Canis lupus familiaris: one gene and its partners. The protein of the gene in region 1 purifies or fractionates together with the protein of each later gene. This does not show direct contact. Links are inferred from orthologs where the notes say so. Each region holds a gene or a part of one and is shown on either strand. Other genes may lie near its edges.

Region 1 (6,404 bases):
CTTTGGATTGCTATTTAGATTTAAGTATTTAAGTGTTAGGTTTCTTTCATACTTTAATACTGCAAAATATAATGAAAACCTTTAAAATCAGTTAAGTGTATGTTACCTTACATGGGAAAAGAGGCTTCGCAGATGTTCCTTGGCTTAGAGAAATAATTATTTACGTTTAATGCAGAATGTAATTAAAAATAATTCCTTTTTATACAGTCACTATAAGTCTAGCTAATATAATCAAATAGTGGTTAGCCTAAAAGAAAATTATCTACCACTGCCATCTGCCATGTAACACTCAAATTGTAAGGTTGCTGTGATTGTAGATACTATTTAAAAAATCCTCTTTGGTAATGACTTTGTTTCAAAGACGATTTATCAAACAAATGAAGGGAGCACCTCCTGTTTAATGAACTCTCAGAGTATATAAACTTGGGAAGTTTCTTAGTTTCCTATTTCTGCTGTAACAAATTACCACAACTTTTGTGTCTCAAACCAACATAAATTTATTATCTTATAGTTCTGGAGGTTGAAGTCTAAAATGGATCCACAATGCTGCATTTCTTTTGGAAGTTCTAGGGGAGAATCTGTTTCCAACTTCTAATGGCCATCAACATTCCTGTGCTCATGGTCCCTGCATCTTCTTCTCTCTGACCTCCATTCTTAGATCTTTCTTCTGTAACCTCATAAGGGAATTTGTGATTACATTGGGCCCATCCTGATAATCCATGTTAATCTCTCTCAAAATCCTTAATTTAATCACATCTGGGAAGCCTCTCTTCCCATGTAAGGTATTATATTCACAGCTTTCAAGTGTTAGGTAGTACACATCTTTGGGGACATTCTTCAGCTCATTATGGGAAGGAATTTGGGGGCTGGTTAGAGAACCCTCATTTTATACTTAGAGTGAATTTTAACATTCTGGTAGGCTAAGTGTATATTAAAAGTTTTTTAGGAATTAAAGATTTGTTGTTGTTTTCACTTTCACTTTTTAACAATTATTATGTCCTGGGCTTGGATATACAACAGAAAACCATACAAAATCTCTGGGCCTTATATAATTTTGTATCAAAATGGGTGGGGGGGCTATAGGAGGTTAGGCTATAGTTCAAGCCAGTTCGTCTCTCACTCTTTTGCTATTGTCATGCCTCTGACAGACAATAGGGTGTGGCTGGAATTCCGCAAAAGTTTGGAGAATATAATGGAATTCAATGTGGACAGAAAAATGGAATAAGCAGAACTGTCTAAGGGAGGTGGTAACTGAAAGCAAATAGAATAAATAGACGCCCGTGGCTTGTAGCGGCATCTGCATGGGGTAGGGGCTTCACAAATAGGTTCTTTAAACTTGCCCCTGCCCCCTGTCCCTGTCCTGACCACTCTGCTCTCCCGGCAGGTCATGATGATGGGCAGCACCCGCGTGGCCCAGCTGCTGCTGCTCCACGGCGCCAACCCCAACTGTGCCGACCCCGTCACCCTCACCCGCCCTGTGCACGACGCGGCCCGGGAGGGCTTCCTGGACACGCTGGTGGTGCTGCACCGAGCCGGGGCGCGGCTGGACGTGCGCGATGCCTGGGGCCGCCTGCCCGTGGACCTGGCTGAGGAGCGGGGCCACGGCGCTGTCGCTGCGTACCTGCGCGCAGCCGCGGGGGGCACCGAAAGTGGTAGCCACGCCCGTACGGAAGGTGCGGAAGGTCACGCAGGTGAGGTGCCACATCTGAGTTGGAACTCGGAGAGCTTCCGCAGCCCAGAGCACTCCTTTTTCAGAAGAGAAAGCTGATTCTAGGAGAGCAAGGTCTTGTGTCTCGCTGCAGCTCTCACTGCCAACCTGTAGGACAACCCTATTGTCCCAATCGCGCTGCCTTGCTTGCGCTGCGGATAGGAAATAGCTTAGAGGGATTTCCACACGTTAAAGCCCATCTCATAAATCGTGCCCTTATTTCTCCCAAACACTCACCCTTCCCACAGCTCAGGGCCTAGACTGTGGAATATTGACGACTCAAGAGGCTAGAGGTCTAGTGACCCCCCTCTTCCTCCAGACTAGCTGGCAGCAGCATCCATTCAGCTCTCCTCAGTTTCCGTATTAGCGTATCTAAGTAGCAGGACCATCCCCATAAAAAGCCTTTGCGCGAGGCGTCATCTGGCAGAAATCTGTCCTCCCCCCACCACTGCAAAATTTTACTAAACTCCACCTTCTGCTCTATCCCGAGTTGTTTTCCAGAGCTGCCCAAGGGGGAGAGACCCCTCCAACCCTGGCAGTCTGCACACGGGGATTTGCTACACTCTCTGAGAAGCAGAGACCCTCTCTTAAGCTTTTTCTTCTCTGCGAGAGAGATCGCTGAGACGGGGGAGATGGCCGTGTGATTCTCCTCTCCTTCTCCTTCCACAACCACAAGGCCTTCTTCTCTGGGGACCCCATTCTCCACCTCCACTCCTGCCTTCCTGAAGTATACCCACCTCACTGATCTTTTTCTGAAGGGAGAACCATTAGCTATATAAGAAATTAACACAAATATTTAAGGTAAACCATGGCTGAGAAGATACTGAGATCTAGCCCATGTTGGCTCAGAATCGGGGCATTAGACCCTCTGCACCTTAGTTGGGCGTGAGCGAACAGAGCAAAGAGGCTCGCTCTGGGCCCTAGACCATTGAGGTAGCGAGTTTTGTGCCTTGGACGTGAGAAGCTCGCCAAGATCTCCTTTAGCCTACCCAGCGAGCGCGCGCTCCCTCGCCCCCAACTGAAGTTCGCCTCCAGACACAGCGCGGGGCGAGGGACCAATGGTAGGGCGGGTTGCGCCGAGCAAGAACTGGGAGGAGCTGAAGAGGTGGAAGGGTTAGAGGACAGAACTGGGCCACCCGCAAATAGAGAGGGTAACCCTTTATGAGCAAAACTAAGATTTGACCCAAGCACACAAGTCTACCCACGCCTTTCTTCCTACCTTCCCTTCCTCCTCTTCATCCTACTACGCCATTCGGCTCCATTTAAATGGGACTTAAAGTGAATGAGACAAAACAGGAGTCCTGCCCTCATCGAGCTTACATTCTGGGAAACACACTTTAAGCAATACACAATGTATTTTCACAGAGTTAGTCTGTAAAAACCAATGTGATGGCTAAGAGTCAAGTCTGAATGGGAAGAGAGGCTCAGAGGGGTCGGAGAGCCCGACTGATGAAATTAACCACGGGGGGCGGAGACACTCTCGAGCGCAGGGACCCTAGCGGCTTAGGAGGACCAAAGGCAGGCAGGAGCGCGCACACAGCCAGATCAGAGAGGAAGGCACAGAGGCCAGTTAAAGTTCCAGCCAGTAGTCAAAGAAAGGGTGTTACGGTCGAAACGTGGATTTGGTTTGAGAAACTTTAGGAAGACATTAGTGGGTTGGGGAGAGGGAACCTGGAGAGAAAGACAACAGGACTGGAGCCGAAGGTTCCTACCCTGCCCAGGCGCTCGTGAGCCTCAGGGGCCCCCTGCTTACGGTGTCGCGGAGTCGCTCCGCGCATCAGGTGCAAGAGATGCCTGCGGATACGCGAAGAGCCGGACGGTATTTTCGTGGCCGGCGCCCGGCGGCGCCGCGTGGGTCAAACCCTCAGCACGCGTTATATACTGGGGTTTTCCTGCCGCAAGCCCGTGGGCGGCGTGGCGCGCCCTCCATGCCCCAGCCTGGCGGGCCCGAGCTCGGCGAGCCCGAGCAGCCCGCCGCGCGGTGGACGCGGTGCGCTGTTCGCGACGCTGGGGAGTAGGGCCGCGGGCAGGGTCCAGCCTTGAGGGACAGACCCTGTGCTGACGGGTGGTGGATATTGAGAGGCCAGCGAAGCCTCACGCATATGTGTTTGAATACCAGGTGGGAGACTAACGAGAGGAAGGCGGGATGGATCACGCAGCCTTGACTTCGAGGTTCTAATGTGTTTTTCTTTGTGCAGACAGCCCGGACTTCAAGAATTGAGCTCTAAAGACAGATCAAGTGGTTTTGATCTTCAATCAACAAAAATGAATTACCCCACCCAACCCAACTCTTCCCTGCATGCTTGCCTTTATCAAATACCACTTTTTAACACTGTAGACAGTGTTTAAAAAAATCAGCCTTCCCTTTCCCTTAAATTTCCATTTGTATTTCCATTTATATATTGGTATATAAAAGGTTAAAAAAAAAAACCAGTTTCTGCCTTTTTATTGTTGGGTTAGAATTCTCTGAAGCAAGTCCGTAGGCCCTGAAAACACATCTATGTGGGCACTTCCCCCTTCCTCTTTCCAGCCTCAACACCCGGCAAGGCGCTGTTGTTATTATAGACATTTAGTGAACTAAGGATACGGAACTTAAATGGGTTACATAGCCTTTCCTGTGTCCAACTGCCATCAAGTGGTAGTGCCAAGGTTCACCTTAAAAAAAAAAAAAGTGTGGTTACTCATTTGTTCAGACAATATTTATTGAGCACCTATTAGGGCACCTTGTCATGAGAAAGGAGGGGAAAGGCATCAACTAATGAACATACAAACACATGACTAAAAATTTAAACATCAATTTCATTGACTGGAAGATAGTATTTTTTTCTAAAAGATAAATGGATGCTGCAGTAAGAGTACATAGCATGGATATTAATACATCTGGATTTCAGATGATAAACTGTCAAGAGCTGGATCTTCTAAGATGGATGAAATGGGGAAGAGAAACTCCAGGGAGACTTCAAATTACCAGACTCACACTTGGCCTTCCATTACTTGTCTGGCTATAGGAGATGAGCCTCTCAAGATTTGGGGTATTTTGCCCTAAGCTCCACAGAAATATATGACAGAGTGGTCCACAACCACAAAGCCAGCCTCTGCAGCCTGCTAGGGGTGGGGGTGGGGGTGGGGGTGTCTGACCGGAGCTGCCCCCACCATGCCCCACCCAGCTCTCTAGAACTCCCCCACAGTGGCTACAGAGGGCTGTGAAGTAGCTACTCACCACCACTCAAATCAAAAGCAACTCCAGCTTCTCTGCCACAGCAGGAGGAGGAACATGCATGGCTCTAACTTCCGTGGAGACCCAGAGGCCATGCTGCCTCCTCTGCAGCAGGGAACCATACCTTCATGACTTGTTTTTTGAGGTGCAATTCACAGAAAATTAACAATTTTAAATTGTACAGTTCAGTGGCATTTAGTAAACTTACAATGTTGTGCATCACCATTTATCTAGTTCCAAAACATTTTGATCACCTCCAAATGAGACCCTATACCTACTAACCATACTCATTAAATCCTCCCTGTCCCCATGCCCTGGCCACCACTAATCTTTTGTCTCTATGGATTTACCTAGTCTGTACATTTCATATAATTGGAAGCATACAATATGTCGCCTTTTGCGTCTGGCTTCTTTCATTTGGCATATTTGCAGTTCATCTATGTTGTAGCATATACCACTACTTAATTCCTTTTAATGGCTGAATAGTATTCCATTATTTACTCTATATCATAATGAATATTTGGGTTGTTCCTGCATTTTAGCTATTGTGATGAGTGCTATATTCCGTTATGAGTATTTGTTTGATGGCTTGTTTTCAATTCTTTGGGGTATATACCTAGGAGTGAAATTGCTGGATCATATAATAGTTCTATGTTTAACTTTTTCAAGAACTGTCAAACTGTTTTGCACAGTAGCTGCACCATCAAATATTCTCACAACAATATACGAGGGTTCCAATATCTCCTTATCCTTGATAACACTTGTTATTTTCTGGGTGCTTTTTTTTTTTTCAGAAGCCATCCCAGTGGGGTTTGATTTGCATTTCCTTAATGACTACAGATGTTGAATATCTTTTCATGTGTTTATTGGTTATTTGCATATTTTCTTAGGAGAAATGTCTATTCAAGTCCTTTGCCCATTTTTAAATTGAGTAGTTCTTGTCTATGGCCACACCACCCTGAACACGCCCGATCTCATCTGAGTTGTTTTCCTTTTTGTTGTTAAGTTGTAAGACTTCTTTGTATATTATGGATACTAGACCTTTATCAAATAAATGGTTTATAAACATTTTCTCTCATTCTGTATGTTATCATTTCACTTTCTTGATAGTGTCCTTTCATGCACAAAAAACTAATTTTTATGGAGTTTATTTTTCCCTATAGTAGAAGGTAGAGCTCTAACTTCATTCTTTTTCATGTGGATATCCAATTGTCCTAGCACCATTTGTTAAAGAGGCTATTCATTGCCAGTTGAATGATCTAGGAATCTTGTCAAAAACCAATTGACTATAGAGGTATTGGTTTGTTTCTAAACTCTCAATTCTATTCCATGGAGATATGTTTATCTTTGTGCCAGTTCTATACTATTTTGATTACTGTAACTTTGTAGTATGTTTTCAAAATGGGAACTGTGAGTACCCTTTGTTCTTCTTTTTCAAAATTATTTTAATCTGTTTTAAGCTTGTATCTGGGGTTCCTT
Region 2 (7,308 bases), on another chromosome or scaffold:
CCCCCGCACCCCCCAGGCAGCAGGCCCGGGTCTAGGGGCAGCGGGACCCAGGGCTGTGCTGACCATGTGCCCCCCCCCGCACCCCCCAGGCAGCAGGCCCGGGTCTAGGGGCAGCGGGACCCAGGGCTGTGCTGACCATGTGCCCCCCCCCGCACCCCCCAGGCAGCAGGCCCGGGTCTAGGGGCAGCGGGACCCAGGCTGTGCTGACCATGTGCCCCCCCCGCCCCGCACCCCCCAGGCAGCAGGCCCGGGTCTAGGGGCAGCGGGACCCAGGGCTGTGCTGACCATGTGCCCCCCCCCCGCACCCCCCAGGCAGCAGGCCCGGGTCTAGGGGCAGCGGGACCCAGGGCTGTGCTGACCATGTGCCCCCCCCCCCCGCACCCCCCAGGCAGCAGGCCCGGGTCTAGGGGCAGCGGGACCCAGGGCTGTGCTGACCATGTGCCCCCCCCGCCCGCACCCCCCAGGCAGCAGGCCCGGGTCTAGGGGCAGCGGGACCCAGGCTGTGCTGACCATGTGCCCCCCCCGCCCGCACCCCCCAGGCAGCAGGCCCGGGTCTAGGGGCAGCGGGACCCTGGGCTGTGCTGACCATGTGCCCCCTCCCCCCGCCAGGCAGCAGGCCCGGGTCTAGGGGCAGCGGGACCCAGGCTGTGCTGACCATGTGCCCCCCCCCCGCACCCCCCAGGCAGCAGGCCCGGGTCTAGGGGCAGCGGGACCCAGGCTGTGCTGACCATGTGCCCCCCCCCCCCCCAAGCAGCAGGCTCGGGTCTAGGGGCAGCGGGACCCAGGCTGTGCTGACCATGTGCCCCCCCCGCACCCCCCAGGCAGCAGGCCCGGGTCTAGGGGCAGCGGGACCCAGGCTGTGCTGACCATGTGCCCCCCCCGCACCCCCCAGGCAGCAGGCCCGGGTCTAGGGGCAGCGGGACCCAGGCTGTGCTGACCATGTGCCCCCCCCGCACCCCCCAGGCAGCAGGCCCGGGTCTAGGGGCAGCGGGACCCAGGCTGTGCTGACCATGTGCCCCCCCCCCCCCAAGCAGCAGGCTCGGGTCTAGGGGCAGCAGGACCCTGGGCTGTGCTGACCATGTGCCCCCCCCGCACCCCCCAGGCAGCAGGCCCGGGTCTAGGGGCAGCGGGACCCAGGCTGTGCTGACCATGTGCCCCCCCCGCACCCCCCAGGCAGCAGGCCCGGGTCTAGGGGCAGCGGGACCCAGGCTGTGCTGACCATGTGCCCCCCCCCCCAGGCAGCAGGCCCGGGTCTAGGGGCAGCGGGACCCAGGCTGTGCTGACCATGTGCCCCCCCCCCCCGCAGGCAGCAGGCCCGGGTCTAGGGGCAGCGGGACCCAGGAGCGCGGCCCCCCGGCCGTCCCGGACCTGCTCCCTCCCCGCAGCTCTGACAAGCCCGCACCCACAGTGTCCGGAGACTAAAGGTGCCCGCATGCGGGCCCCAAGCAGGGTTTTGGGGAAGGAACGGGGGACTGGACGGAGGCTGTCCCACGGGACCCGAGCGCGCAGAACCGACACAGGCACTGCGGGCCGCCGGCGGTAGAGACCGACGTCCTCGGTGCCCGGGTCCGCTCTCCTCCGGGTCGGGTGGCTTTCCCCAAACACTGTCCGCCTCGGGCCCGGTAGGAGTGCGGGGGGACGGGCGAGCGCCGCCCGGAGGGACAGCGGGGGCCTCAGAAAGCGGTGCGCGCGGATGGGGAGGCGGGGGGGGCCCCGGGCGGGAGACCGGGCGGGGACGCGGAGGGCGACGGGGCGGGGGACGCGGCGGGGGACGGGGGGCGGGGGACGGGGGGCGGGGGACGGGGCGGGGGACTCAGCGGCCGGGCCGCCGTCCGGAGGCCGCGGTGTCGGGCTGCCCCTGCCCTCCCCGCCGCCGCCCTCTCCGCGCCCCCGGCTGCCGCTCGCCCCGCCCCGGCCCCCGCCTGGCTCCCGGCCCCCGCCTGGCTCCCGGCCCCCGCCTCGCTCCCGGCCCCCGCCTCCTGCGCCGTCGGCGGCTCCGCGGTGCCGGGTCCCGCCCGGCGCGCCACTTACCCGCCGCGATGGGATTTACGTAGCGGCCGTCGTCACTGCTTACGGGCGGGAGGAGGTGGGGACGGCGAGCCCGGCAGCCCGGCGCCCCCGGGGCCCCGCGTCGCCCCCACGTCAGCTCTGATGCGGCAGCCACAGCCTCCCCGCCGACCCGGGGCCAAAAGTAGCGCAGCAGCCGACCGAACCGCGTCCTCGCGTCCCGCCCTCCCCTCCCCCCTCCCCCTCTCCCTCTCGGCGACGGCCTCCCCGGGGACGCCCGGCGGAAGAAAATCCAGGCTCGAACCCTGCCCCCTGCCGGCCTCCAGCGGGAGTGCAGCGCCGACAATCCAACAATTAGATGGAACGGGGGGAGGGGAGGAGGGAAAGGAGGGGCCAGGGGGCGGGGCCTGAGTGGTCGGGAGGCGGGGCCTCGGGGTGGCGAGGGGGACCGGGCAGGGGGCGGGGCCTCGGGGTGGCGAGGGGGACCGGGCAGGGGGCGGGGCCTCGGGGTGGCGAGGGGGACCGGGCAGGGGGCGGGGCCTCGGGGTGGCGAGGGGGACCCGGGCAGGGGGCGGGGCCTCGGGGTGGCGAGGGGGACCGGGCAGGGGGCGGGGCCTCGGGGTGGCGAGGGGGACCGGGCAGGGGGGCGGGGCCTCGGGGTGGCGAGGGGGACCGGGCAGGGGGCGGGGCCTCGGGGTGGCGAGGGGGACCGGGCAGGGGGCGGGGCCTCGGGGTGGCGAGGGGGACCCGGGCAGGGGGCGGGGCCTCGGGGTGGCGAGGGGGACCGGGCAGGGGGCGGGGCCTCGGGGTGGCGAGGGGGACCGGGCAGGGGGCGGGGCCTCGGGGTGGCGAGGGGGTCCGGGACCGGGACCGGGACCGGGGCCGGGAGGAGGGGCGGGCTGCGGCGGGAGGAGGACGGGGTCCTGGAAGCCGGAAGCCGCCAGCCGCCAGCCGCCAGCCGCCAGCCGCCCCGCCTCGCGCCGGAAGTCCCGCTGGCGGCAAAGTTAACGGCAGTGGTTGGCGCGTCCGCGTCGGAGTCGCTGGTTCTCGAGGCTGCCGGCTGCGCGCCCCCTGCCCCCACCGAAGCTGACGTGCCCGAGCGGACCCGGGGAGCGTCCGCCGTCCCGGGGCGCTGTGGACGTGACTTCGGGGAGCTGGCTGTCCTGGTCCCAGCCTGCTCCGCCTCCCCGGTGACTGCGTCGGGGTGTGCAGAATCAGCGGTGGGCCCGCTGGGAGATGCGACGCCGGGAAGGAAGGCTCTGGGTGGCAGGCCAAACCCCGTGCCTCTGAAGTCGGAGTTTGCTTCCCATCCAGTGGAAGGCGAGGGCCCTCCGGTAAGGGGAGCGTTCCGACCCTCTCTCGGGAACCCTTTCTGCATACTCAGAACTTCCTCAACTGCAAGGCTGAGCAAGCCCTCCCAAAGGGAGCCTCCGTAGCCTAAAGACAAGCCGCTTTACATTCAGAAAACACGAATTCAGACAGTGATTACCGCCCGACTTTATAGTACTCAGGGGTGTGAGATGCAGGAAACCAATGTCAAGGACACCACTGATAAGTTGCTGAGAAAAAATAAAAACATGCCAACGTAGTGCAGGTAGAGACGGGAAGCTTTGTGAAATATTAGAATCTGCAGAGTGGGAGAGAATCCTCAACTCTGCAGTCCCAGATTTTGGCCAGCCTGAACCGCTTCCAGCTGTAATGCATAGGGCGCAGATAGAACCCAAATCTGTAAGTTCACTTCCCCCTTTTGACGTAAGAATTCTGAAGCCCCTCCTTGCGTTATCATAGACAATGCCCATCTCGACCACTTGTGAGTACCGATTTCTTAATAAGGAACATTAGCAAGTTAACAAAATTGAATTTAAAAAACAACCAAGTCCTTTTTTGTGTGTGTAGTTAAGGCTGGCACAGAATATTTTTAGGTAAGTAATACAGCTCATTTTAGCCCAGGGGAAAAGGGGTCACTAGAAGGGAAGGGAATAAAAAGGGGTTATCAAACACTCAAATCTTACTATTCATTATGGTCAAGGTTGACCAGTGCAGGATGAATAGATTTTTAGCCACAAGTGATTGAAATTGTGATCATTCACCTTCCCCAAAACATTGCTTTCCCCCTGGTTGTTTGCTGCTAAATTTAACAAAGTATACATTCTTCATATACATAGAGTCTATTAGATATAGGACTTAAGATGTAAGTGGTAAATCAACATACACTAAAATGTAAATGTCAACCCTTTCTTGAGAGTACCTGGGGTCTGAAGAGAAAGGGCATGACAGAGCAGCAGGATCTCATAGTCCCATCGGCCACAAGTCCAATACACATCTCACTGGGCCAAAATCAAGGGATTGTTGGCTCCAGCGAAAAGTCCATTTCCTTGCATTTTTCGTCTTCTAGAGGCCATCCACATTCCTTGATTGATTCCTTTTCCTCCATCTTCAAAGCCAGCAACAGCTGGTGGAGTCTTTTGCTGCCATCGTTATGATTTTGTCTCTCACCTCCCTCTTTTACTTACCAAAACCTTGTTTTAATATTGGGCCTACCCTAATAATCCAGGATAATCTTCCCATATCAAAATTAGCTGATGAGCAAACTTGATTCTATCTGTAACAATTTCCTTTTGCCACATAACCTGTTCACAAGTTATGGGATTAGGATGGAGACATCTCTGGGGAGTGAGCTATTCTGCCTATCCATAGTGAAGGATTCTAAAATAAGCTTGAGCTCTTAGAAAAATCACCTGCCTCTAGGAAGTATCCCTTGCAAATATTTCAAATGTTTGACTAGAAATGCCAATAACTGATTTATCACTTTCTCATTACCTATGATATAGAAAATCTTTAAATTTTTAATTTTTAAATCAGGGGTAAAGGAGCAGATTAGGAAGGTACAAGTTTTTAAATGGGAAGAATAATATACCTACTTCTTAGCATTGTTGTAAGGATTAAATAAAGTAACTACCATAAAGTATGTGCTCAATAAAAAAAACTAGCCAAAATGGGTGATGGGTATTAAGGAGGACACTTGTGATGAGCACTGTTATACATAAGTGATAAATCACTAAATTTTACACCTGAAACCAATTTTACCATATATGTTAACTAACTACAATTTTAAATAACTTGAAATGGAGCAGGGTGGTGGGGAGGAATATTTTTATATTGGTCCAGTGTCCAGGTTTTTGGGCTCCTCACTTAGGCAATATTGCTCTGTAGAAGAGGGACAGCTAGAACATCTACTTTCCTGAGAAAATACAGGCTGTGGGTCACACCCATATATTCTCCCTTCACCTCAAAATATCTTAAATCATCCCTTCCATTATGGGTCAGGAGGAACACCTCCCTCCTTTGCTTTCTAAATCCAGGTATAAAATAGGTGTCATTTCTTTCCCATACCAGATCTAAGTCAATTATCTGCTGTCTTGTACCTTTATTCTCTTTCTCTAGGCTCCATCTCCTATCCCTGCAAATGTATCCTATCTGCCTCTACTTGAAAAGTGTTGACTGCTTCTCCTACCAGAAAAGCTACAGAGTTGCCAGCTCTAGGGTGCCCATTCACATTACATTTTTCCCCATATGCCTGTTCCATCTCTTGCCATCATCTCACTATCAGACTACTCAGGAATAGAGAAGACACTTACTATATTCACTTACTCACCACCTACTACTCATTTCTAACTTCCTGGCTGTCTGATATTTGCCCTCTTTCCCCCCCCCCCCCCCCAAGACCTCTTTCTGATTACAGAATCTGAAACTTTTTTTTTTTCACTCTTCATGCTGCTTGACCTCTTTTCCTACCTTAGTGTCTCCTCTCTGAGTTTCCATGACATTTGACTCTCCTGGTTTCACTCATCTTTGCTTCCCTAATGTGGATAGTTCTGAGTTTTCTGCCCTTGATCGTCTTCTACATTGTCCTCCTTAGTTACCATTCTCACTTCTGTTGAAAAGAAAGAAACTTGCCTCCATTATAGGTCATCCTAAGTATTTCTATTTGGTTCGTTTTCCCAATACATGGCTCTTGTGATGTGATTTCTCTTATTAAAAGTCCTGAATGAAAAAAAAAATCTTGAATGATTGAGGGAGTGGGACTTATGGGGTCAAAGGTGGAAAGGAGATTGAATTCCCTTTGGTGGCCTCTTGAAGAATCTACTACACGTACATACTACATATTCTAAAAACATAAAATTTTAGTTAACGCAAAAACTTAGATCTAATTGGCTAAGTCCAAATATCCTAGTTTTGCATAAAACCTTTCATGATGTGGGCCCAACTTAAGTTTACAGCCCTATTCCATGTTAGTCTCTTGTGTTTTGTATCACACTGGTTCTCAAAGCATCCTGCACATCAGAGTCACATGAAGAGCTTGAAAAGATGTACCCAGGCCATCGGCCCTACCTGTTGACTTACTGAGTCAGAATCCTCAAAGAAAGGGCCTATAAATCTACCTCTTTTAAGATCTCCAGTGAGTTGCAAGATTATTACTTGGCAGCACTTCAGCCAAAACTTACTACTTACTATTATATATAATTACCTTACATTTTCCGATCTTTTTTGCCTTAATTGCCCGTTTTCTCACCAGTTCTCTGTATCTGCCAATTAAAATCTTCTCCATCCTATCAGATCCAGCTTACATACTATCTTCTTTACTCCCACTTAGCCCAAAGTAAGCACTGAATAGATATTAGCTGTAATTAATATTTTGAATGACTTGGGCAAGTTCCTTCATTGACTTGTGCAGAATCAAAGCTCTAGAAAGAGTCTTAAAAACCTAAATTGAAAAAAAAAAAAAAAAAATTGAAAAAAAAAAAAAAAAAACCTAAATTGACCCACTTTGTTTTATAAATTAGAAAGTGGAGGGATGCCTGGGTGGCCCAGTTGGTTAAGCATCTGACTCTTGATTTTGGCTCAGGTCATGATCTCAGGGTGGTGAGATCGAGCCCCACATCAGGCTCCATTTGCATTGAGGAGTCAGCTTGAGGATTCTCTCTCCCTCTCCCTCTATCCCTCTCTCCCCTGCACTTGGTGGACACCCATCTCTGTGCATTTTCTCTGCGTCTCTCTCAAAAAGATAAATGAGATTTTTTTTTTTTTAGTGGAGACTAAGTAGTTAGAAAACTTGCTTTGGCTAATAAGTAGTAATATCAGGACTAGGATCGAGGCTTTGTGACTTTTAATCCTGTACTACATCTATTACACCACAAGTTCTCAGAATTTTGCATTGTTTAAATGACTACTACTTTACCAGTTTACCGTAGATGAGAGAAAATGGATTCACTTGAAAGTAGTTTACACAGGTCCTTTCTA
Region 3 (7,405 bases), on another chromosome or scaffold:
GGTCTCCATTTCCCAGTGACCCCGAGGTGCAGGGAGGTGAAGGCACAGGCCTGGGGCTACACAACTGTCCAGTGCTGCACAGAAAGGCCTGGCCAAGCACTCCCGGCAGACGCCTGCACACCTGTCCCCCTTGCCAGTGCCGAGGTGGGGGGCATTAGGCCCGCGGCTCAGAATCTAGGTTCTTGTCTGGTCAGGAGAACCACCCTTATTCTTTTTTTTTTTTTTTTTTAAGATTTTTATTTATTTATTCATGACACAGAGAGAGAGAGACAGAGACACAGGCAGCGGGAGAAGCAGGCTCCACGCAGGGAGCCCGACGCAGGACTCGACCCCGGGTCTCCAGGATCACACCCTGGGCTGAAGGTGGCGCCAAACTGCTGGGCCACTGGGGCTGCCCAAACCACACTTATTCTTGAAAGCAATGGAGTACAAAGGTGCCCCAGGGCGGACATCAGTTCACACCGCATCATGCGCAAGTCCCTGGACAGCACCCAGCCCCCAGCACCCAAGAGACCCACCTCTCACCAGGGCCCCAGGCGCTACCCACTGCCGTCTCCACTTACCCATCCCACAGCCACCCCCTGCCCCCAGATCCACAGCCGCCCCACAAACAACAAATGGATCAAGGCCTATCTCCCATTTACTCAGGGAGTCAGCAGGAGGTGAGTGGCCAGCCCACAGCCTGCCCAGCGTCCACCTGTCCTGGGAGCGTGCTGGCTGTGGGAGACGGCAGCTCCGAGCCCCCAAGGCCTGGTGCCTCTGGCTGTTCCCACCAGTGGCCTGGCGCCCGCTGAGCACACCTGTGCGCAGCCTGCAGGTGGAACAGACTCTCTGGGCTGCCGCTCACCCAGCAAAGAACAGGCTGGGGCGCCCCCAGCTGCCCTTGGCTCCCTCCTGCCCTGGGAGAATCTTGCCCTGAGTCTGTTTGCTGCTCTTCAAAGTCCATGGAAACATCGAGGACTCCTAGAATCCAACATTTACCATAAACAAGGCTTTAACAAGACAAAGAGGGTGTCTCCTAGAAGGGGATGACAGCAGCCTGCCCCAACCCTTCAGGCAGGCTTCATGGACACCTGGCAACAAGTCTCTGCTCTGCTCTTATGGGGTTAAAGGTCCAACAACCCACGCTCCTGAGTACAATGCGGGGTTCTCCACAACTACCAGGGTTTTCAGTTGGGTTCAGGAGAACCACCTCCCAGCCATGTTCCTGGGCTCAGGTTCACCTACACCCCTGCTTCCCCACCAGGCTCGACAGACCTGGGAACGACCAGAAGGTAGGGCCCTGGCTAAGTGTGGAGCCTCAACTCAAACCCAGCTCACACACCCTCAACTGCCCCTCAGCAGTCCAATCCATATCATGCTCTCTGCCCCAACACCTACCCCCCACCCCAGCCACCCCCCTCCCGGTCCCTGAGCAGCACAGTCCCCTGCCCAGAGCCCACACCGTCATGCAGCAGGGGTGAGACCAACAGCTCAGCGGACACAGGCCCTGGACCTTGCTATCTCTGGCTCTCCAGGTGTGGCCCTGTGTGCCTGTCAAAAATGCACGTCCCAGACCCCTGTGGCCTTACGTCAGAACTCTGGGCGAGACCTAGTGCCTGGGGTCTGGGAGGCTCTCGGTCAATTCTCTTCCCAAGAAGTAAGCCAAGTAGGAGGAAGGGTCTGGGAATCACCACTGCAGAACACGACTGTAGTCCCTGGTGTCATGCAAGAGACCAGGTCTCAGGAAGCTGGCTGAGTTATGACAAACCGCCAGACCAACTAGATGGGGTCCCGTTTTAAAAACCATGTACTTAGCTTATAAGAAAAACAAAAAGTCAAAAATCACAGCCCTCCATTCAGAAAGCATGACATGATGACGACACCCCCCCGCCCGGGGCTGCCGCCTGCAGCTTTTGGCACCGTGACGCCAGAGCACACCTTGTACGAGGTTCTGATCTTAACTGACCTCAAGACTACGTTCGATATAGACAACAGCATGCTGACCCAGAACAGAACTGCAATTCACCACATGATCCCAGAATCCTAGTCTGCCCCCTTCGTCCCCATCCGTGTACGGACCTGGCCGCCAGGAACACCTGCCAGGGGGAGTTTGGGACCAGCAAGGTGCACCCCTGCCCAGATCTCCTTCACAGGACAGCACACTCGTCTGGAATATTTGTTTGGGCCAGAGGCGGGGGCCCAGCAGTGCAACAAGGGCGAGCGCTGATCCTGAGGAGGAGGATTAGGGCTTGCAGGAGCGTAGGCCAGTCTGCCTCCCAAGTGTTCTCTGGTTAGAAGCGGGCAGGGACCCCGATGCCGGAAGATGCTTTACTTCTACAAGTTTCTCAAAACCTTCATTTCCACTGGTCCTTCTCCGTGGAATCTGAGCCAACCCCAAGCCTTGGGTCAGTGGAAATGCCCTTCCCTGCAGGAGGTTCGAGGGCACAAAACACTCCTGCCCCCGAGCTCCCTGGCGCACACAGCATGATCACCGGAGCACCCCCTTCACCCCCCCGGGGAAGCAGACAGTGCAAGTTGGCAGGAACCTTCTGCTGAATTAACCAACACGGAGCCTCAGCGACCAAAGACAAGCAGCCTGGTAAGCAGTTCTGTAGTTGAGATGCAAGGTCCCCGGTGAGCCTAAGCTCTGCCAGGCATCTAAACAGGTTTCTGAAGCCCCAGGCCGGAGCTCCCCAACACGGGGCGCTCTGTGGGGGCTGGGGGCAGGCCCTGCCAGGCCAGGCCAGGCCGTCCTGAGCGCCGTCTGCAAGCGTACCCGTGGCACAACCCTGCCACCTCTTCTGCCCTGAAGACTGGACAGGACCGCCCATGGAGGCCCTGCCCCAGGGCCTGTGTGAGGGTGTCCCAGGTTGGGGGAAGTCAGGAGGGGTGGTCGCAGGAGAGCTCCTGCCGCGGGGGTGCTGCTGGGCCAGACCGGGGTGGGTTTCTGCCGGCGGGACAAAGAGCCACAGGTGCACAGCTGCCCTGTCCCCAGCACACACCTGGGCTCAGACATGCTCCCACTCCCACCAGCCTCCAGTTTGCTACATTTCAACCACAGCAGGCAACCTCTCATTCAGAATCCCACTTAAGACCACATCTCCCCGGGACAAGCTCACAGAGAGGCACTCAGGGGGGTGGTTAGGTGCGAGCCAGACGCCGGGAGATGGGACGACCCATCCCCAGGCCGGGGAGACAGCCCGAGGACGGGAGCGGGCCCTCCAGGCACAGCCACCTCCCGCCAGGGTTCCCGCAGCGGCGTGGACTCTCGGTGAACTCCCCTGGCGCTGTGCTCCGCGACCTGAGGGTACAGACCTCAGAGCCGCTTCCTGGCTGCCCTGGCTGCCGGGGTTTGGGCTAGGCACTCATCTCCCGTCCGGACGGTTTCGGTCTCATCTGTGAAATGGGCGCAGCACTGCGACCCCTCGGGCCTGTGCGGGACGCAGACACGCTGCGAGTGGGAGCCCCGCCCGGGCCGTCCTGGGCGGCGCTCCCCGAGGGGGGGACCTGCTGCACCCGGCAGAGGCACCTACCTGGCCGCCCGCCCCCCGACAGCTCCCGGGACCCCGGGCGCCGACTCGGAGGCCGGGTCCCTGACCTCGGGGCTCCCCAGGCTCCGACCGCCCGGCGCCCCGCACCCCGTAAGCAAAGCAGGAGCAAGCTGGGGTCCGCGGGGCCGGGGCTGCCGACTCCTCCGCGGGCCCCGGGGTCCGCAGGCGCCCCGGCCCCAGCAGGTGCAGGCCCGGCCCCCTGCGCTCGGCCCCGGGAGACCCCGCGGGGCTCGGGGCGGGGGGCGCCTGGCGCGTCGGGGCCCCGCGCACGAGCTCCGCGGCCGGCGGGCGGGCCGTGACCCCGGAAACGGATCCCGCGGGCGGCAGCGGCGGCGGGCGGGCTCGCATCCCTGTCAACCGCGGCCGCAGCTCCGGGGCCGCGCCGGGCACGCGCCGGGGGGCCGTTCTCCGCGCTCCCGGCCGGGCGCGCGCGGGGCTCGAGGGGCCGGCGGGCCGCGACCCCGGGGCGGGGGGGGGCGCACGCCGCGGACTGAGGCGGCCCGGCTCCGGGCGGGGGGGGCGCGGGGCGGGCCGGGGCTGGGGGAGGCGCCCGGCCGGGCCCGACGGCGGCGGAGGCCCCGCGCCCCGAGGCCGGCCCCCGCCCGCGCCCCCCGCCGCCCGCCCGCGCCCCCGCGCTCACCTCGGGCGGCCGCGGCCCGGCGAGCGAGGCGGACGAGGCGGCGGCGGCGGCGGCGGCGGCGCTCCCTTTGTCTCGGGACTTCCCTCCCGAGCCCGCTCCGCGCGCAGCCCGAGCGCTCCGAGGACCCCCGGCGGGCGGGGCGGGGCGGGGCCTACGGGGGCTGCCCGCCGCGCGCCTGCCCCGCGCGCCGCCGCCGCCTTCCCGCGCCCCGCGCCGCCCCGCCCGCCGCGCGCCGCCCGCCGCCCGCGCCCTGCCGCCGCGCGCCCCCGCCCCGGGTGCGGCTCCGGAGCCTGGGTCGGCGGAGGCTTTCCCGTCGGGCGGCGCCGCGGACACCTGCGCCCTTAAAGGAGCCGCGTCCCCGACCGGAGGGAGCGTCTGCAAACTCCCCCTCGCGACGCGCGCGTCCACCCGAGGACACGCCGGCGGGCAGCGGGGGCCGGCGGAGGCCGAGACCGCCGAGGGCCCCCCGGATGCCGCGCGGGCAGCTGCCCGCGCACGGGCCCCGGAGGTCTCCTTGGGGCTGGGATCAGGGGCCGGGGGAGAAAAGCCCACTGAGGCCTAAGGATCCCCGAAGCGTCGCAGCGCGGTGACGGTCCCCGGAGCACGGCGGCCTGTGAAACCCCTTGCGATTGGCCAGCTGCGGGCCCGGGGCGGGGCGCCCGGCGAAGCCGCCCAATGAGTCGACCCGGCACAGGAGGCCGAGCGCCCGCCGGACCGACGGGACCACAAGTGCTGACGCTCCCTAACCCGGGGGCGGGCCGCCGGGGCCGCGGGCGCATAAGGGAGGGGAGGAGAGCGGACGGCGGGCGGAGCGAACCGCGGCCCCTCCCGGTCCGCCGGGCGTCTCCCCGTCGGGCCCGCCTCGTCGCCCGAACCCCAGGTGTGTGTGGGGGGGCGCCTTCCGAGGTCAGTCCGCTGCCCCGGTGGGCGCCTAGGGGTCAAGCAGCGGTGGGTGTCTCGGGCACCCCCATCCCCGCGCAGGGGCCGCTGGAGGGCATCGCGGCCCCGGGCTGCAGGTCGCGGGTGGGGGCACTGGAATGCCGGAGCGGCGGGCCTGCACGCCCCCTCCCCCTCCCTCCCCTCCCCCTTCCCTCCCTCCTCCGTTTCTCCCCCCTCCCCCTCCCCTCCTCTCCCTTCCCTCCCTCCCTCTCTCCCCCGGGGCCCCGTAGTTGGCACCGTGCTCAGGCTTCCCCAGGGGCAGGGACCACAGGCCCCGTGTCCAGCGGCTGCTCAGGGCATGCAAGCCGCGCCGCTCCCAGCCCTCCTGTTACTTGGGGAGTAAAATGAGGGCGTCCCCCTGATGCGGGGCCTAGGTCACCACCCCACCCACCCCCACCCCGGCCAGCAGTGGCCTCTGGGGCTTGGCTAGAGTGACCGCCGCCCCGGTGACCAATGAGCCAAGTATAAGCGGTCACGTCCCCGCCAGGCCTGAACTCCGCCGGGCTGTCGGCTCCTGAATCCCCAGGGCCACCCCCATGGGCCGCTGCCGCCCTGCCCCTCCCCCAGGCAGCTGCAGTTCTGCACCTGAGAGTGTCAGGACCATCTGGGGCTTATCTGAGACACCTGTTTCCTGGGGCTTCTGATTCACCAGAGCCCAGGGGTCCTGCGGGCGGGAGTGTGTGTTTTAACGAGAACCCCAGGAGAGCCTGCTGCACGGCCCACTTTCTAGTGGCTTCCTGCCAAGGAGCATGGGCTTCGGGCCCATCCTTGTGCAGATGCCAGGTTTGCACCAGGCTGTGTGGGGAAGACACCTGACAAAGAGCGGTGGCCGCTGCTGGAGGCAAGAGAGGAGACCCATGGGCCTTCGTGGGCTCTGCACAGACAGGGCAGAGAGGGAGCAGGGGTGTCGTTCGGGGAGGCCGACCACCAAGGGTGGCCTGGGCCTGACCCTGTGGGCCCTGGGGAGCCATGGAAGGTTGCAGAGAAGGAAACTAAGAGCAGGTCCTGTCTATGCGTGAGGAGGGGATACCCGGAGATGGGAAGTGCGGCCCCTTGGCTCTGATGGCCAAGGTCCAACCACAGCAGGAAGAACTGCCCTCCTAGGGGAAAGCTGTCCTCATGCTGGGAAGAGAGTCAGGATCGGAGGAGCAGGGCAGCCCCGATGGCCCAGCGGTCTGGCACCACCTTCGGCCCGGGGTGTGATCCTGGGGACCCAGGATCGAAACACACGTTGGACTCCCTGCAGGGAGCCTGCTTCTCCCTCTGCCTGTGTCTCTGCCCTTCTCTCTGTGTGTCTGTCATGAGTAAGTAAATCTTTAAAAAAAAAAATTGGAGGAGGAGCATCTGGCATTTAGGTGGAGGAGGGCAGGGGATGCGCAGGAGGCGACCTCCAGGCTTGCGTCCTGGGCCGTTCCTGCGCTCACGGGCTGGCGCACAGGCTGTCAGGATCATCACGTTTGTCCAGCCCTGATGGGAGGCGCGCTGACCGTGTAGACTGGGCCGCGGGCAGGGAACAATGGGCGGCCTCTAGAGCCCGCGAGGGCCACCGCCCCCATGACGGCCAGCAAGAAAGTGGGGACCTCAGGCCTTCCACAGCGGGGGACTGAGCTTGCAGGAAGGCCCGAGCCTCAGCTGAGGGCAGGAGAAGGCAGCCCCGGCCTGTGACACTCAGCCCCGCTCCTGACGCAAGAAAGGGAGACGACCGCAAAGTGCCCTGTTTAAAGCCACGGGGCGTGCGGGGAGCAGTTGTGCAGCTGGGAACACATCTGGGTTAGATGGTGCCGTCCGCGAAGTCTCCGATGGGGTGACGTCCAAACAGGCCTGAAGGAGGACGGGGACCGGTAAAGGCCCGTGTAGCCGCGGCAGAGCCAGAGCGGGAGGGCGCCATGGGGTGAGGTTGGAGGCAGTTGGACTGGACCTCGCGTGACGTTTCCAGGGTGCTGGGGACCTTGCTGTGCGCTCATAGTGCAGCAGTCCCTGTGGGAGAGACAGGCGGGTTGGGTCCAGTTCCCTGGGTACAAAGGAGAAGCTGAATCTTGGAGAAGGTGAGGCCTCTGTGCAGTCAGTGGGTCTAAGACCCTGAGGAGGAAGGATGCTGGCTGCCCTACGCCCCTGCCCCATGAGGCGGGGTGGGGGGGTGGGGGGTACGCCCCCGAGCTGCCTGGAGCCTCCCCCCCCCCCCCCCCCCCCCCCCGGGTGTCTGCCCAAGGCCACGTTGTGGGGAGGAGGTCTGCGGGCAGGGCTCGGGGCTGGCTTGAAAAGCACTTCCGCAGGTAAAAGAAGGGAGCTGGAC

The links.
Region 2: the proteins of CDKN2A (region 1) and CUL2 purify together in Homo sapiens (affinity purification with western blotting; 3 studies listed by BioGRID, with this or other methods). This does not show direct contact. The link is inferred for Canis lupus familiaris from reciprocal best matches to the Homo sapiens genes CDKN2A and CUL2.
Region 3: the proteins of CDKN2A (region 1) and UBE2I purify together in Homo sapiens (affinity purification with western blotting; 3 studies listed by BioGRID). This does not show direct contact. The link is inferred for Canis lupus familiaris from reciprocal best matches to the Homo sapiens genes CDKN2A and UBE2I.

What each region holds. Positions count from the first base shown.
Region 1 is NC_049232.1:41,334,776-41,341,179, reverse strand, and holds the end of CDKN2A (cyclin-dependent kinase inhibitor 2A), read left to right. Parts: intron 1-1,384; coding exon 1,385-1,691; intron 1,692-3,906; coding exon of another isoform or gene 3,907-3,910; coding exon 3,911-3,936; 3' UTR 3,937-4,102; downstream 4,103-6,404. UniProt on the Homo sapiens protein: Acts as a negative regulator of the proliferation of normal cells by interacting strongly with CDK4 and CDK6. This inhibits their ability to interact with cyclins D and to phosphorylate the retinoblastoma protein.
Region 2 is NC_049223.1:2,047,311-2,054,618, forward strand, and holds the start of CUL2 (cullin-2), read left to right. Parts: upstream 1-3,003; 5' UTR 3,004-3,341; intron 3,342-3,752; exon of another isoform or gene 3,753-3,929; intron 3,930-7,308.
Region 3 is NC_049227.1:39,921,600-39,929,004, forward strand, and holds the start of UBE2I (SUMO-conjugating enzyme UBC9), read right to left. Parts: upstream 4,306-7,405; 5' UTR 4,174-4,305; intron 3,573-4,173; exon of another isoform or gene 3,516-3,572; intron 3,409-3,515; exon of another isoform or gene 3,298-3,408; intron 1-3,297. UniProt on the Homo sapiens protein: Accepts the ubiquitin-like proteins SUMO1, SUMO2, SUMO3, SUMO4 and SUMO1P1/SUMO5 from the UBLE1A-UBLE1B E1 complex and catalyzes their covalent attachment to other proteins with the help of an E3 ligase such as RANBP2, CBX4 and ZNF451.